4 linked regions of the Coturnix japonica genome follow. The protein of the gene in region 1 interacts with the protein of each later gene in a pairwise test. Links are inferred from orthologs where the notes say so. Each region holds a gene or a part of one and is shown in the gene's direction. Other genes may lie near its edges.

Region 1 (4,487 bases):
AAGACGTGGTGAATCGCACGGCTACAGCAGTATAAATGGACAAACCTCAGAGCATCCCTCTTGTGCTGCACAGAAGGGACAGCAAATGATTCTTTGCTTGTCATGCCCCACTGCCCCTTATGCAGAACAGCTCCCGAGCCCTTTTCCAGCGAGGACCCCCCGGAAGCTGCCGACTGCCACTCGTGCAAACCGAGGCTGACTCAGCTGCAGCTCCTTTTATCCCCTCGCTCATCCTTGCTGTGTCCGCTGCCCATGTCTATGGAGCAACAAGACTCTATGACTCTTTCGTCCTACTCTGCCTAACCGCACCGTGGCATTTACTCGAGTTAAACTGTGAATAAGGAAAGATTTGAAGAAAGCGAAGACGCTCAGGGCGTTAACGCATTGTTAACACAAAGGCTCCCAATGAAAGCTAAGACTGTAAAAGTAAGCGTTCCCGATTGCTTGCTGCGTTACAAAGAGTGAACATCCCAGGGCACAGAGGAAGGGGGAATGCAGAGATTCATTTTCTTGTTAAAAATGTCCTCCGCACACAACTACCGGGGCAGAAGCCTTTCGCTTTCGGCCGCACGGTTTCCAGCATCGCTACAACAAAACGTACGGCTTAAGGCAACCGCTCTTTGCCCGGCAGCTCCCTCCCTTCTTCCGCCGATCTGTGCTCACAGGGTCCATCTCACACCGCTCGCCCCCTGACTCAGCCCTCCCTTCGGACAAAGGGCCGCCAGACAGAGCCCGAGGAGCTCGCCGACAGCCCCCCATCCTCCAAGCCACCACCCCTAAGCCCCGCTAACAAAGGCGGCGCGGGACCGCCGCAACCCCCGCCGGCACCGCCCTCGGTTCCCTCCTTCTCCGCCCCTCCCGCGGCCGGGCCGGTCCCGCACCGCCTCCTCCGTGCCCGCCCGCCCCTCCCCGGCGGCGGCAGCGGCACGGCAGGGTGCCGCCGGGCGGGCGGGGTGTCTCCCAGGCGGCCTTGCCCGGATGTGCTACCCTGACTCATAGCCGCGCCGCACGCAGCCACCGCGCCGCTGCCGCGCTCTCCCCGCTCCGTTCCGCGCACGGCTCTCCCGAGCCTCCCCGAGAGGCGGCGGCTCCGGGAGGAGGGGAAGGAGGAGGAGGCCGCGGCGCCACCATGGGTGAGTCCCCGCTGCGCAGCCCTCGCTGCCGCCCCTCTGCCCCCAGAGGCCGCCGCCCGAGCTCGGTGCAACTTCCCCGCCGGCTGCGGGGCTCGGAACGCGCGGCCCCCGCGGCGCAAAGTTTGCGCTGCGCCCCGATCCGCGCAGGCCGGGCCGCCCCGATCCGCACGCGGAGGGCGAGGGGAGAGGGCGGCTCGGGGCACGGAGTTACGTAAGGCGGCCCCGGGACCTCGCCGACCGCTGCTGGCGTGACGGAGGCCGTCGGGGTAGCGCGCTGGGAAGGTTGCGCCGCGGTCCTTGTCCGCTGTTGGAGAAAGACGTGAGGATCTTCGTGTTGCTCCGGCTGTGAGGCAGAGCGTTACTTGTGCCTCTGAATGCAGCCATGTTACTTCTGCCTTTTTGTGTTTGTAGGTTGGTTTTTTTCCCCCCCCGTTTCTTAATGTTGTAAATTAAGTAGTTTCGCACCGATCGCCACTTGGATGGAGCTTCCAGCGAACCCCGCGTGAACCCAGGGAGCGCAGCGTTCCATTGCCTTTACAGAGCGCTCGTTGGGTTTCTCCTCGCTTCCCCTCCCCTCCTCCTCTTTACACAGTACGGCGCCCAGCAGCCACCGTCAGTTTCCCCGCACAGCTGGCTGCAGTGTGGACGCTGAGGCAGGGATGGCCCTGCCGGTCCGCGTTTCACTGCGCTCTGGGTCGTGGATGCCCGGGGCTAGGAGCCGTGTGTGCTTTGCAGGCAGGGCAGGGTGCTGGCTGTGCCTGACTTTGGCTCAGGGCTTTGACATCAGCACTTCCTGCAGCCTCAGGTGCTGCACTGTTTAGTTTCTTTTTGCAGATCACGCACATCTTTCCCTTTCAACTAGAAGTTTCCATGGGAAGAAGCGCTTGCAGTGCCTCAGTTTTCGTGGCCATGGAATGGGATAGATACTTGTTTGCTTCCTTTAAAGAGATGGAGAACTTCTGGAGAACCTTGGCAGATGGAAGCTGCTGTGGTCAGGTGTGAAGGAGAGCTGTCAGGCTTGCTCAGAATAAGGAACAACTCTAACAGTGTAGCAAAGGCCTCTTTTTTTTTGCATCGAGACACAAGGATTTAGTAAGAATATATTTCCTGTCTCTGTTCACAAATTCTGGCTGCTAATCTGAGTGTTCTGGTCAGAATACAGATGTGACCAACTATTTTGGCTCCCAAAAAACCTTCACAGAGTTCGCTAAAACCTCCTCAGAAAAGCTGATACAGAATCAGTGCAGTGCTCTGTTTCAGATGAGACTACATCTCAGCTGCAGACAAGTTTGAAAACAGCTTGAGGATCTGCTCCAGCCTGCTCTATAAGTAAGAGTCGTTCAAATGTTCTCAGGGAGACTGAATTTTTCTCTAGAATCTGTCATCGCCTGCCCATAACTGACCAGAGGTTGCTTGTGAAAATACAGGGGAAACCTTTGTTTCCCCACTCCTGTGCATTCTGGAACCTGACTCCTTTGCTTTTAAGAATCCAAGCAAACTACAGCCTCTGCAGCAGCTCTTGTTGCTCCAAAGACTGAAATCAGTTTCACCTTGGCTAGCAGCTAACTGTGCCTTCTGCTGCTGAAGATCTATGTTCAAGCTCATACAATCAATGCAATAACTTCCCCCATTCTGCTTATAGCATTCTTTTGGGTACTGCGTCGCATTACAGCTGCAAATCCCTAGAATTAAAGTCAGGATGAATATTTGCAGTATTTAATTTGTTCTTCCTATGGCTTGCACTACATCCCATAAATCATGGTCAACAAACAGGCGTTTGTAGCAAGAATGCAGTAATGCCTTGCAGTTAAATGTATGCTTTATTCTGTGTTCGAAAAGGCAGGCTTAGTATTAGCTGATCTGTATACTGGTGATATAAAATGGAAAACCAAGTAAGTATATTTTAATTCCAGTCATAAGATTTCTGCCACTAAAAATATTTGTGTATATATAGATCTGCATTATCTTTGCTGTGTAGAAATCTCTCTGTTGCCACTTCAGCCCCAAGTGTGTATTCCTCTCGTGGCAGTCATTTCCTCCTAGAGGACTGTGGCTTCCTCTCATTAATATCAGTTCTTCCCAAAATTGTCACTTTTTTTGCTTGTGCTTATGTAGTTTTTGAAGTCACATACATGGAATGGTGCAGTTTCAACACCATTCATCTCTTGGCTTTGTGAAACAAGCTGCTGAAGTGCTCCTGGTAGCAAAATACTGAGTACTTGAGGCTTACGTGTGCTGTGCTTCTATTCTTACAAGAACAATTATAGGTTTTTACTTTTCAGTTGCTGACTGTGCCTCAGTTTCCTGCTGAACAGCCCCTTTCTCTGGTCAGTTTTCATCTTTTAACCTCCAAAACCACAACCAGCATGTTCTGTCATGAACTTCTTGTGGCCAGGCAGGTTTTACTGTTTTCAGGCAGTAGTCATTCTACAAATGAGAATCCATACGATATATCAGTATTATGCATTGACCACTCAACACTTATGCACTGGCCCAAAAGGTGTAGAAACATCATTCGTGAGAGCTTATATACCGAACAGAAATACAGATTACACACAAAATTATTTTTATGGTATGTATCAGTTGCAGGCTGAAATATAGATGTTATGATCAGTAGAAGTGTTTCCAAGCACCAGTTGTGTTAGCAAGAAATGGAAGGGGGCCTCTGTTCTAATGAAGTTTAACATGTACCTGTGTGCTTAACTGGGCAATGAAAGCAACCTGCCAGTTTCACAAGGAGGTCAGGGAACTTCTTGCAATACCTAACACTAATATCATAGTGACGAGATGCAGGAGATACACAGGCTATAATGTAAATGGCTGTTGTGCATTTAGTTACAGCTGTCAGAACAAAGGCTTATGTTGCCCCTCTCCTCCCAGGGCACTGTATTTTCTCTCCTAGTTTCCACACAGAAGTACCACAATTGTCAAGCTTTGTGGCCAGCCTGGTGGCTGTGAGCTCCAGATCAGAATGTCAGAAGCCACTACCTGTGTTCATGATATTAGCTCCCTCAGTAAAGGTGTCAGAAGGGAGTGAATGTTCAGGCGTGGCTGTGTGCAGTACCACTTTTGGGTAGATGGGAATAAGCCTGTGTGGTTTTTGTGAGTAATCAATAGCCTTACATAGGAGAGGAATGAAAAAGTCCTCCTTGAAAAGAATTCTGCTAGTTTTCTTTCAAGAGATGCAAGTCAACTTCATAGATCACTTGTAAAAGTGATACAGTTATTGCACAAAAAGATAATTTTTAATTACTCTAAAGGTTTTGCAAGAACAGTGGGACTTTGTATAACACTAGCATATTAGTTCTACCCAGCAGCAATTTAAGCCAGTGTGAGATGTATTAGTGTTTTCCA
Region 2 (4,364 bases), on another chromosome or scaffold:
ATATCTCCCTATTCATCCCTTCCCGATTTTCAGAAGCTATTACACCAGTTTTAACACCTTCTCATGTTATGTTTAAAATAAATTTATGAAACCATTTTAAAATTATGCACAGTTGCATTCTGGAGAACTTTAAGGTGGCGCCTTATAGTATCACATTTTAGAAGCTTGTTTTGAATGGTGCATTTAACGCAACTGGTAACTGCAAATCTACATTGCCTATGTGAGTAAACATTATAGACAGCTCTGGTAGACCTTATGGAATTCTGCACTACATTGACCTTTGCTTTCTTTGTTACCTTGGCCAAGGTATTTTACTATGCCTTAGTACTCAGTTGCGTTACGTCTTTCCTTCGAAGTGGATGTGGAAAGCTCACTGAGGACCATAGGAGGGGTGGACTGAGTCCGGGTTGATAGAAAATCTCTCTGAACATTGAGAGCTTTGAGCCGATGGCTGGATGTGACTTTGTTTTCCTGTTTCCTTTAATTTGACTCCTTTAGCCAGCGAAGTTGCGTTAGAGCTCAATGAAAAGCCTCTTTATTTTGCAGCGTTGTGGAATGGCTGCAGTGCAGAATCCCATAAGGCCGAGGCGTGCCATCAGTGTGGTCATTTAAATATATTTAAAACAATGCACAAATCTGCTGCTGCTTCGAACACTGCAGCTTCTAAACTCGATTTCCTTTGTTCGAACACTGCAGCTTCAAAACCCTTCGACTGATTTCAACTTACAAAGACAGACAATTGTGCCTGAAGTGAACCCGTATATTTTGTTCTTTGCAGCCGGCACCCCTTGTACTGTACGAGAATCAACCCTTAGGCTTTCATAGCTGTATTGAAACTCATCAAGGTGAAATAGTCGATGTCTGTGTGCTTCCCCCCCCGACCCCGGTCACACTTTATCAAGAGAACGGAACGATCTGAGCGTTAGAGCCCAACGATCAGCAGTTCCTCCCTGGGATAGAGGCCGTACTGTGGTTCATTTCCTTTCGTTCCATGTTACCTCTATTCTCAATGTAGGGTTTTTTCTCTCTGGGAGATGCGTTTATCTTTGTAAAACAAACAAAAAAAAAAAAACATTTGCTTTTCTCCAAGTTGGTTTTTTTTTTTTTTTTTTGTTTTTTTTTTTTTTTTTTTTTTTTGGTTTTCTGTTAATGGCAAAGAATGGAAATAGAATAAAGTTTTACTGATTTTGAACAACGCTTTTCTCCTCCCCGTGTCTCTGTTGTTGGGCGTCGCCTCCACACAACCACAACCACCATCATAACAACCATTACAGCCGCCATCTTAGCCGCCATCTTTACCCCCCCATCCTGGTCAGCTGCTGGAGGTCACGTGCCCGAGAGCATCGGATGCACTTCCGGCGCTGTTTGATGACGACACACCGGGACCGGAAGCCGGAAGCTTTGCAGCAGGGTGTTCCGCGTTCGCGGTGCGGGATCCCTCAGTCGTGGTGGTGGCGGGGCCGGGAGCGGCCGGAGCGGGGCGGCTCCGCGTTGAGCTGCCGGGAGGGCGATGACCGAGTACAAACTGGTGGTGGTGGGAGCCGGCGGCGTCGGGAAGAGCGCGCTGACCATCCAGCTCATCCAGAACCACTTCGTGGACGAGTACGACCCCACCATTGAGGTGAGAGCGGGGGGACGGGGTGGGAACGGGCCGGGAGGGGAGAGATGGGAGAGAATGGGGGGGTAGGGTGGGAGAATAGAGCGGAGACTGGGGGGATAGGATGGGAATGGAATGGGGATAGGATGGGAATAGGATGGGGATAGGACAAGAATAGAGTGGGAATAGAATGGGAATAGGATGGGAATAGGATGGGGATAGTATGGGGATAGAATGGGGATAGAATGGGGATAGAATGGGGATAGAATGGGGATAGAATGGGGATAGAATGGGAATAGGACGGGAATAGAGTGGGTATAGGACAGGAATAGAGTGGGAATTGAATGGGAATAGGACAGTAATAAAACTGCTGTGTGGGGTTACAGATATAACAAGGTACGGCTGTGAGGGGTTACAGCCCTCCAGGCATGGAGAGGTGCAGGAAGGAGCAGCATCTTGTCTCTATCGGATTAATTCCCTTGTGTTCGGGATTAATTCCCTTGTGTTTGGGATTAATTCCCTTGTGTTTGGGATTAATTCCCTTGTGTTCTGTGCAGGATTCGTACAGGAAGCAGGTTGTCATCGATGGGGAGACGTGTTTGCTGGACATCCTGGACACTGCGGGGCAGGAGGAGTACAGCGCTATGAGGGATCAGTACATGAGGACGGGGGAGGGATTCCTGTGTGTGTTCGCCATTAACAACAGCAAATCGTTCGCTGATATCAACCTGTACAGGTACGGGCTGAGTCTTTGCTGTGAGGAGGAAAGGCTGGAAATGGCGTCATTTTAGTGTGAGGCTTTGGGTTAAAACAGCTTTTATTTGAGGAAAATAACCCGTGTTTTTTAACTTTTAAGAGAGCAAATCAAGAGAGTGAAGGACTCGGACGATGTGCCCATGGTGCTGGTTGGGAATAAGTGTGATCTGCCCACGAGGACGGTAGACACAAAACAAGCCCAAGAGTTGGCAAAGAGCTACGGCATCCCCTTCATAGAGACATCAGCTAAAACGAGACAGGTAGGGTGCTTCTGTCCGTTGTATGTTAAACAAGGAACGGTTTAGCTCTTTCCTGTTGTCTTCTTCATTGTTAGAATCACAGAATTGTAGGGGTTGGAAGGGACTCCTAGAGACCATCAAGTCCAACCCCCCCTTAAATGGAAGAGTAAATGCTTCTAAGGCAGTTTGAGATCTGTAGCTTTTGATTGAATACACCACGGGATCCTGGTGGCCTCGTGAGATTTGGGATTAAAGGGGTTTCATGTGAATCTTTGCCTCTGCAGGGTGTGGAGGATGCGTTTTACACACTGGTGAGGGAGATCCGGCAGTACCGGATGAAAAAGCTCAACAGCAACGAAGATGGGAATCAAGGCTGTATGGGGTTGTCCTGCATTGTGATGTGATAAGGTGAGCTCTGCTTTTTTCCTTGTCTGTGAGCCTTCCAGCTGTTGATAAGCACAGTAAAGATCAGTATAGAAGCTAATTAGAGGCACCTTTCTATTCCAGATGCCAGGTTCAGATGTAGCTGCTGGACAAGTCTCGATGCTACTGTATTGTGTCTCATGCTGATGCCCTGCAGTATTTTGGTGCCAGCGACCAGACTCTTGGTACCAGTTAATTAGCACAGGATCCTTTTCTGTGCTCCATCTGAAGGCAACATCTCTGGTATCTACCTCCTTGCTCAGCTCACAGAGCGCTCATATCTCTTGGTGTACTGGGATTCTTTTCTAGCTGTGTCGTCTGGGTTTGTTCAAGAAGAAAACCAGTCACAAGAACAGTGAATTACAGAGACTAAATGCTGTGAAAAAGATCATTTTACCTCCAGAGTAAAAGCTCCAAGTGGCGTTTGACCCCTTTGCATTGGATTCAGATTTGCGGTGTGGTCAGAGGAGCAGCAGAAGTCATTTTGCCATTATAAAGGTTTGTCACCAATCGGATCTGCTGTCTGCACATCCACACGGTGTATCTGCAGCATCTCATTGTGCCAGGAGGATCATTGAACCGAGCAACCGATCCTTGGTTTTTCTGTAATAAAAGGAGAAATCTTCGCTATCTTAAGTGCCTGTTTGCTCCAAAGGTTGAAGGCTGGACGCTGCTCCCTTGGGCTGAGGAGAACCCCAAGGATGAATCTCCTGGGTGCTCGTTGTCTCCGCAGGCAGGTTGTGTGTGGGTGATCTTTACTCATGGCAGGACACTCAGATGGAATTTGCAGCCTGGCAGATGGATCAAATGTTTGTGAGACTCTTGAATTAGGGAGGCCACACCTGTTCTTAGTCCATCAGAATGGATCCCTGCACCTCTTTGTGTGTGGATCTGGGTATGTTCTGAACTGCTTTTCTACAGCATTTGGATCTCTTTCCGGTTGGACCAAATTAACGAGCCGTTCATTTTAACGTAACTGCCGATATTTACAGACCATTTCTTATGGACAGATACTGAATTGAGAAACTGGAGGTTCCTTTGGGCAGCTGCTCCTCAGCTCTGTCTGTAACTTGCAAATTACTCTGAGTTATTTTCTCCAGAGCCTCCTTCCTTATCACGGGAGGGGTCTGGGAGTTGAGCTTGACTGTAATTGGGTCAATGGTTGTGACAGATTTAAGGTGTCCAGGCGGAGTGGAGGAGGCGCTGAGCCCTGACAGAGCACTGAGCTGATTTCTGATTGCAGCATCCCTGCAAAATGAGGAAGGGAGTTCAGTGGTGTCTGCACTGAAGATGCGCAACGCTCTGATGGCAGTTCTGGGTTTGCTGTAACAGCCTCCAGGTAGGACCCA
Region 3 (4,601 bases), on another chromosome or scaffold:
TGATTGCAAGTGTATTCATTTTCACTGCACACTATATTCAGTTAACATATAATCATCTTTTGGAACTGTTCTGCTCTAATCTCTCTCCCCCATTAGAAATGAATGTTTAGCATAGTTTGCTCTTAGCTGTATTTGTGCATTTTTCCCTATGCTCATTTTCACACATGGTCTCATCTTTCTTATCTCTTAAATCACTTTGGATTATTGCTGTTTCTGTTCATGTTTGCATAATGTATCATAATCTGTGAAATTTCAAATGGTAACAAATTTATTCAGCTAGCAGCTGCAACATGGATTGAGGCTTTTTGAGAGACTGAAAGTGGGAAGAAATTCTGTGGTCTCTTTACCAGTAGGAAACAGCACGTTTTCTCTGAGAGAAGACATAATGGTTCACATGATCTGAATCCAGCCAAGTGTGATGTAGCTCAGTTTGGGTAACATATCTCTTGTAAAGCACATATTTCCATGAAATATATTTTTTAAATCATTAGCTCTTAAGTCAGTAATTTGCCTCTGGAATTGAGCAGACATTCCCTTTTGGTTGAAGCTCCAGAACCTGCTCATGATCCTATAGCAGTTCAGACATGCTACCATTTTCAAAGGGTTAAGTCAGCCATGGCAGCTAAAACCTGCTGCTGTGCTGCTGGAATTGCTGCTGGAACTTGGAATGAAAGACCAACAACCAACCAACCATCCAAACAACAACGACAACAACAAAAACCAAGTGTGATGGGACTGAAAATGAAACAATACCAAAGATTTCAGTGCTTTCCCAGCATCTCAGAAGGCTTAATACCTCAAGAAATGGAAAACATAAGTCTGGTTGATAAGTGGGTATCCTCTGCCCATCTTGTCTGATTGTGACTTGCAGAATTGGATTTGCTTCTACCCTCAGTATTCTGTTGTTGTTTACTAAATGATCTCCCTTTGGACATGAAAAATGCATGATAGGGAAAAAAGCTAAAATGTCGAGATTGGTCTGTCCTGCAGAGCTATGTGGTCTCCCTTTATACCAGAGATGGAGAATTGGCTCATAAGCCTAGGAATACCCTTTTCAAGAGACAGGAAGTATGAAATGAATCAAGAGAAATGATTGTAAAGGAAATCTGGGGGAGGAAACAGGAAAATGGTAAAAGACAGAAATTAAGTGACAAAAAGAAACACCAGGTAGAAAACTTTCATCAGCACTGCTGCTGTCCTAAGAAAGAAGGTGAGCAGATTGCAGAGGAGGAAGTAGTCTTGCCCTACAAATATAGTGTGACAAACTTGTTCCTCATTGTATGGCGACAGAGCTACCCTGCTGCAACTTGAGGAGTCAAGGCTTTGAAGATAAACTCATGAGTGTACAAAAGTTAGTAATAAGCAGAAAAGTAAGGCTGAAAAAGAAGTACAATCATTTGGTATGCTTAGTATGCTTAGAATTAACACACGTCCCTCTTTCCATGAATGCACTCAGTCAAGGCACTACCACTGTGGACGCAGCTGAAGGATAGAAAGGGACAGGAGGCAAAGAGAAGGGCAAGGTGATGAGTTGTGCTGGGAGTCCTGGGGCCTTTAGGTGCTGGGCAGCAGTCGGACGCTGCCAACACCGTACACCCGGAGAGCCGCCATCACGGCCGCAACATTGGCTGCTGCTCCTGTCCATCATCGTTCGTCATCGCTGAGCGACGCGGGGCATGTCGCTGCCGGCTGCGGCCCGTGCTGCTGTCATGGCGGCGGCGCCCGGCCTGACGGAGCTCGGCGAGCGCTCTCCGGAGGCTGGAGCCAAGCTGGTGGCCTCGGAGGTGGCGAGTAGCGCCCTGCGCTCCCTGGCCGGGCTGGCGGGGCAGGTGAGTACAGGGTGGGAGGAAGGGAGGACCGGGGCCGGGTCAGCCGTGGACCCGCTCCTGCTGTACTCGCCTTTTTGGGCGGGCATCTCTGCTTCTCTGTCCGTGGGACTCTTCGGGGATGGGTTTAAAGTATAGGGAGAAAATTCTGCAGTAAGTAAGGGAGGCTGTCATGTCTGCAGGTGACAACGGGAACGGTGGGGTTGCGTGCGTGGTACTGTAGGCTGCTTGGGGTTTTAGTGTTGATGAATTATGTAGCAGATAGCGCGGCAGTGGTGGGAGGCTCTTATCGAGAGAAGCTGCCAGTAACAACTTAATAATTGCCATCAATAATTTACAAGTGAACTCATCTTCCTTCATGGAAGCACAGATGTCTTTCTGTGGAGGCAATAGAAGTGCAGTCGTGCTTTTGCAGTTAGATGGCAGTTTGAAGGTCTGGCGTCAGGTGGTGAGCTTGTGTCTTGGGGAGGTAATAGAGTTGATATTAGAGCTGCTGCATGCCCTCAGGAGGATTGCAGTAATTATGGAACAGAATAAAGGTTTTGGAAACACTGATATTTGGAGTGTGTTCTTTGTGTGACAACTTAAAGCCCTTTCACTGCATGCTGTGCTGAACGATGGGTGGGTAGGGGTTTGGTTACCTGTCTTAGCTGTTGTGACTCTTCAGATTACTCACTCAAAGTCATTTCCAGCTGTCCAGTTACATTCTTACCTGCCAGCATTTGAGTTCTGGTAGACTAGTGATGTTTTAGCAGCTTATCCTCTTCAGATATCCATCTTGCACTTCTGACTGATGCTTCTGGTCCCTTTCTCCCCTGTATTGAGATGGTAGAACGTTTGCCAGGTCTTCGTCTATCACAGTTTGCAATCTGTCATAGCAACTTAAGCAAGATTTATGCCATCAAGTTGCACTGGAAACAGGAAAAATAAATGTGTGTATATATGTATATATAATATATACACAATGTATGTATATATGAGCAATATATATTGAGCAATGACTTGCAGTGCAGTGATTAGAAGGACATCTGAAGATAACAACTCTTGAAACCAATATGGCAGATCCTGAAAAGTTACTTTAATCCCAAGGGATAATTTGTGAAGTTTATAAAACAATTTCAAAGATCAGGAATAACTTTGATGTAAAATAGTGAGAAAAATAAGTGTGCAGTGTTTGAAATGTGTTTGGTTGCAGGAGGAGTTTGTCCTTTACTTAACAGTGTGTGTGAGTTTATCCCCTGCCTCTAGATTCTAAGTCAGAAGGAATTGTTTTTCACATTGCACCATACGACTGTAGGATACAAGAAGGGGGCTTACTAGGCCATTACAGCAGGACATGTATTTTGTCTGTTACGGCAGTGTACCTCTGTAGCTGTTTATCCTATCAGCGCTCTGTAATGTAGCATGTATTACTCTCAAAACTTTGGGAGGAAATACTTGCTTCGGATAGTGCCCTTTAGATGATCGCCCAGTCACAGATGTTTGACTTGTAAAGTGAGGTTTTATTATACCAAATTCTTAATACATTCTTATGTTTCTGAGGTTTCATAACAATTATTTACTAAAACATTATTTTCCTTGCCTCTTATGTAGATTAAGTACTAACTAAGAATAATGTTTGTGAAAATTATCTAAAATACATTACATATCCAACTAGATAAAAACCATGATTCAGTTGTTATTTTGTAGTGCATTGGAAAACAATGCAAATCTATCCACTGTTCCCCTAGGTACTTATTTTTTTGTCTCTAAAGGCCAGTAGATCTTCCATCTCTTTTGCTATGTAACTGATTTGTAATCTAACACTGGATTTATCAAGGCTGATCTTTGACTAAAGAACGAGGGATCACGCTTGTCCTTCTTTATGTATGATGTTGCAGTATTGCTTGGTTCGAAAACTGATGTAGAGCAATTTCAGGTTCTGCTGCTTTGCCTTCAGTGTAATGGAAACATTCTTGATTTTATTTGTTTCATAATATGTTGTGCTATGAAACAAGTACATATGCATTCCGCGTTCATAATATTTGGTGCTGTTGCAAGATAGTGATTTTTAGACTATGTGTTCAAGGTCAATCTTATCACGGATGTGATACTTTTATTTATTTATTTATTTATTTTAATATGGCAGGAATGAGATGTAGATGTACAGATTTGCTTGTGACTTGGGATTCTGCATCCAAAACAGAGCACTTGTATATCCTGTTGATTTAAAACCGTTGTTTTATCTGTATTTATGATTTGGGAGATTGCTTAGGGGATATTTGGTTGGAAAACAACCTGTTTGGTGTGTGAAAATGGAAGTGTTTCTCCTTTACAACATCTTATCAGGAAAGCTTTAGTGTAATGAATGTGTCATAGAGCTGTGTGGAAGTACGTAATTAATTAGCGATTATTAACAATCAGTTCTGTATCAAAAAATTAAACTGAATTTTTAGTTTATAGAAGGTACATAATTCCTATAAATATAATTTCAGGTCTCCTGTGCGTGTTTCTCTTTGTTGTTTTGGGAGTTAAGTGCTGCCATTTCTCAGCAAAGACAACAGGATGTGGCAATTGCCATTTGTTCTGAATGCTCATGAAAGGAAACAGGGATTATGAAGTGGGTTTGACAGTGATGCTGTGTGGTTCAGAGTTTGTTTAACTGGAAGATTTTGAGAAGGATTTAACAGTATTATTTTTGATATAAAGCTTGCTTTGGATTAACAGGTACAAATGGCACAGTATTGAGACCCTGGTCATCATACAGGCTAATACAGCCTTGCACGTTTAATTCAC
Region 4 (3,935 bases), on another chromosome or scaffold:
AATTGTGCTCGCCTTGAGGCCTTGCTGGCTAAAGCTGTGCTGCCTGATCTGATAACTTGTCAAGAGGAAGGAAGGGGGGTGATGGGCTCCTTACTGAGTGCAGGGTGAGGTTCCGAGCACCTCTGCTCTCCAGTGCCACCTATGGAGAGTGCAGCGACTCCAAGTGTAGGAACTTCTGCTATTGCACTTCTACACATTGGGTAGTACTGGAAATGCTGAGCGGTATATTGGGGAGATGGGTGTCACAGCGAGAAAAGCAGCTCACCTGGAAAAGTGGCATATATCTAAACCTCTGCTGTAGCAAAAACATGGCAATTCTGTCCAAGGACAGTGCTGGTGATGTCCCATCTGCTGCTTGATGTGAATGGAGACCTGAGCCATGCAGCACGCCTGGGGTGGAGCTGGTTCATGCAGCTGAGAGAGGAAGGATGTTGTCAGAGGCTTTCAGAAGGCTGCCACCTGTTTGCAGATATCAACATTTCTGGAATTAAACAGCAATTACTTCAGCTGGCCTCCGCCTCCATTCCTGTGGCTGCAAACAGCAACTAAATTCGTGCAGTTGGGTTTTAGTCGTGGGAGAGGAGGAGAGTGCAGCATCTGTGCAGCTCTGGTGCCTGCAGGATGGAGGAAATGCTGGCACACATTGTCTGATGGCGTTCAGAGCGAGTCACATACGTGTCTGCCAGCAGCAGGAACATGGGGAGCTCTGCAGAACCGCTTAGTGTAAGAAAGGGATGGCGTGCCTTGTTTCCAGGAACAACATATGTGGCTTTACAAAGACTGGTTCCTAGAAGGTGTCAGAAAGCAATTCACTGCAACTCATTAAAATGCTGAATTTCTGTTGGCCATGTTTTTAATTGCAGTCAAATGTTACCAGTTTCATTTGATGCAATGGTGGGTGGACAGAGCTGTGATTAAGCAGTTGCTCGAAATTTTGTTATGACTAAGTTTGGTTTGGAAGTATCTCAGAGTCTACGTCTTTATGTGCAAGGATTTATACTTCGCAAAACAAGTGCAGTTCTAAGTTCCTTATCACAGAAGTTGGTCAGCTTAGAGAAAAGCTGTAAGTACTCAGAGGTTGTGCTTCATTGCAAAGATAGGTATTGAAGTTCATTTTGAGGATTGGTAACTGTAATACCCGATTTGTGGGGCAGTGAGCCAGAAGGCAAGGGAAGCAGGAAGCCTGGAACGGAGCAGGCCTGAAACAGGGTTGTTGAACGTGTTTTTTCTTGTTCAAGTGGCTGCCTGATTGTGCTGCAGATACATGCTGCAGGCAGGCGCTTCTCAGCATGGAATGAAACCTGTCACCACCTCCCTGTGCTGTTCTATTAGCCAGAGCAGACTCACCGGTTTCAGAGCAGGGTGAGCAAAGAAACTTGAGCGCTGAGACAGGTTCCTGGGCCTCTGCTGAAAATGTGGAGTTCCATATGAATTTGTTATAAGCTTTTGTTGTCTGTAATGAACCCACTGGAAAGCGAAGCATCAGACCAGCCAGGTTCTGGAAGCACATGAGCACGTAGCTCTGAGCCTCAGGAAGTTTCCTAGGGAATGTGCTCCTTGCTGCTTCCAGTGTTTGAGGGTTTTCACGTTTGTCCTTGGTCGGTAGGACTGGCAGAGCCTGCTTTATAGCTCGCTGACAGCAGTCAGCAGCACACGGTGGCTGATGAAGCATCCCAAGGATGTGAGCAGCAGGTTGTCCTTGGGGGAATGTGGAGCTTTCCCTCCGCATAGTGGCTTGTTAGCAGTCAGCCCAGTGCCCCTGCAATGGGGACAGCACGGGATCTCCTCTGCTGGCAGCTGTTAAGCCAGCTTAGCTGCATGGCACGCAGCTCCCAGATTTCTCCCACAGAAGTTTTTGCGTGATAAATCTCTGTGCTGCTCTGTACATGAGTGTGTCAAGCGTGTTGCGACAGGAAAACATCTGCAGGTCGTAGTTTGCTCGAGCAGAGGAAAATTCTGGTGTTCAGTTCTGCCAGCTCGGTTCAGGAGGGTGTATGCTGGAAGAAAAAGAAGAAAATCAGATTGTTTCCTTAGAGCATGTGTGCAAAGCAGGGCAGGAAACTGCCACCGTGTGCTGTGATTAGTGGGACATTCTGCTCAGGAACAAAAGTGCAATTAATAGGCACGGAGGCTAAAAATCTGTGGCAATGCTGTGCACAGTGAAGCAACTCCTCTTTCATGGCTTGAATGTGTGTGGTGCTGTTGTCAGGGGTTGCCATGGCCCTCCTGGGTTAAGTGGCACTGAGCTGTTCCTGGGTTCAGCTATGGTAGAGGTACTTAACATCCCTCGAACTGTGAGTCACTAGGTAGGGCTGATGGGCTAACATTGAGTGTTAAGTGATTTTAAATAGCATTTTGAAGCTGATCTTAGGTGTATGAAGTAGCAGTCCAAGGTTCTCCAGAAAGAAAAGAAATGCTATGATTCAAATGTAAAACAGTTGCTAAAATTCAGATAGGAACGCCTCAGTTGTTTGCAGCAGGAGAGCTATGAGCCCATGACTAATGCTCATTTCTGAGAGTTGTCTTTGTCTTCTGCAAAAGCGAAAGGATTACAGTGTATTTTTAGCAGTAGCATTTGGTTTCTGGTAATATTTCCTTTGCTGTTAATACTAGCTGTGGTTTTAGACTAAAGCTTTCATGAGTTCCTTCAGTTTGTGATAGACTTGAATCAGGAGGCTTGAGAGTCCAAGCTGCTGCTAACAGCAAGGTTTGTCTGTATGTACAGCAAGATTAGGAAGTTCCTACTGGCTTGACTTAAGTGTGAGAAAGTGATTTGTGAGGCGGTGCCAGTCAACTTGTGCAGGAGTGTGTCTGAGAAGGGCAGTGGGGTGGGCTGTGGGGCGGTTTGGGTGCTGTCTTCATTGTTGGAATGCAGTTTATCTGTAAGGCAGCCAGTGAAGTGCTTGGTGAATGCATGCCGGGAGTCACTTTGCAGTAGCAATAATCATGGTGAGCACTGCCATTTGTATTGTTCTCACTTCAGCAAAAATAATGATATGCTGAGAAATGATGTGGTTTCAAGCTTTCTTCAAACTTATGTAAAATAAAACTAAGGGTAACAGAATGGATGTTTATATTAGCTGTGTTTCCACACTAGCAGTAACCTTAAGGCTACAGCCTCTTACTTGTTTTTGTGTGTAATATTTTCTACTGGCACTCTCAATTGTTCCTTAGGTGACTGGGTGTAATTAGTTTTCTTCCCTAAGAGGAATATTATTGCTTGCTATTTGAGATGAATGTTCTTTACATGTAAACTTTCTCTTTTTTGCAGTGCTGTAGGTAAAACATGCCTACTCATCAGTTACACAACCAATGCGTTTCCTGGGGAATATATACCCACAGTGTAAGTACTTACAACATTCTAAAAACATTCCTGTCAACCCACTGGTGCTTCCTGCTGGTCCAGCTTCCTCACTGAGCCTCCTGAATTGTGGGCACACACCACTCAGTGCCATCATAACATCTGGCCAAGCATCTGTGTGTGCTGCACAGAAGTGCAGTGTTATAGCTTTCCTAGTTATGACTCTGCAGGAAGAAATACTTAGGTGCCCAATTTGACTACAATCAAATGCAGCTAACTTTTATTTTTTAGCTTTGACAACTACTCTGCTAATGTAATGGTTGATGGCAAACCAGTCAATCTGGGCCTGTGGGATACAGCTGGTCAAGAGGACTATGACAGACTACGCCCACTCTCCTACCCCCAAACAGTAAGTACTGGTGTGGAACTGAAGAAGGTAGACAGCTCTAAGCTGTTCTGGAGATATTACATCTGGAGCTGTATTTCTTACTGTAATAAGGTACTTGTTGCATGTAGGCTGAAGGATGGTAGCTTGCTGTAGCAAGAATCTTTGATGTGCATACAGCTATATAGATGTTCAAATTTACACCCTTGGGTGTTTGCGAGCATTGATGCATGTTGGTTTTATGTAGTT

Evidence for each region.
Region 2: the proteins of RAP1GDS1 (region 1) and NRAS interact in binary tests that used the Homo sapiens proteins (3 or more experiments, as listed by UniProt). The link is inferred for Coturnix japonica from reciprocal best matches to the Homo sapiens genes RAP1GDS1 and NRAS.
Region 3: the proteins of RAP1GDS1 (region 1) and MBIP interact in binary tests that used the Homo sapiens proteins (3 or more experiments, as listed by UniProt). The two-hybrid records come from large-scale screens. The link is inferred for Coturnix japonica from reciprocal best matches to the Homo sapiens genes RAP1GDS1 and MBIP.
Region 4: the proteins of RAP1GDS1 (region 1) and RAC1 interact in binary tests that used the Homo sapiens proteins (3 or more experiments, as listed by UniProt). The link is inferred for Coturnix japonica from reciprocal best matches to the Homo sapiens genes RAP1GDS1 and RAC1.

The regions. Positions count from the first base shown.
Region 1 is NC_029519.1:53,686,383-53,690,869, forward strand, and holds the start of RAP1GDS1 (rap1 GTPase-GDP dissociation stimulator 1), read left to right. Parts: upstream 1-1,492; 5' UTR 1,493-1,507; coding exon 1,508-1,544; intron 1,545-4,487. UniProt on the Homo sapiens protein: Acts as a GEF (guanine nucleotide exchange factor) for the Rho family of small GTP-binding proteins (G proteins) that stimulates the dissociation of GDP to enable subsequent binding of GTP.
Region 2 is NC_029541.1:3,904,814-3,909,177, reverse strand, and holds the start of NRAS (GTPase NRas), read left to right. Parts: upstream 1-1,368; 5' UTR 1,369-1,510; coding exon 1,511-1,621; intron 1,622-2,154; coding exon 2,155-2,333; intron 2,334-2,453; coding exon 2,454-2,613; intron 2,614-2,876; coding exon 2,877-2,996; 3' UTR 2,997-3,000; intron 3,001-3,099; 3' UTR 3,100-4,364. UniProt on the Homo sapiens protein: Ras proteins bind GDP/GTP and possess intrinsic GTPase activity.
Region 3 is NC_029520.1:33,103,340-33,107,940, reverse strand, and holds the start of MBIP (MAP3K12-binding inhibitory protein 1), read left to right. Parts: upstream 1-1,655; 5' UTR 1,656-1,676; coding exon 1,677-1,829; intron 1,830-4,532; exon of another isoform or gene 4,533-4,601. UniProt on the Homo sapiens protein: Inhibits the MAP3K12 activity to induce the activation of the JNK/SAPK pathway. Component of the ATAC complex, a complex with histone acetyltransferase activity on histones H3 and H4.
Region 4 is NC_029529.1:8,459,587-8,463,521, reverse strand, and holds part of RAC1 (ras-related C3 botulinum toxin substrate 1), read left to right. Parts: intron 1-3,271; coding exon 3,272-3,343; intron 3,344-3,592; coding exon 3,593-3,710; intron 3,711-3,935. UniProt on the Homo sapiens protein: Plasma membrane-associated small GTPase which cycles between active GTP-bound and inactive GDP-bound states.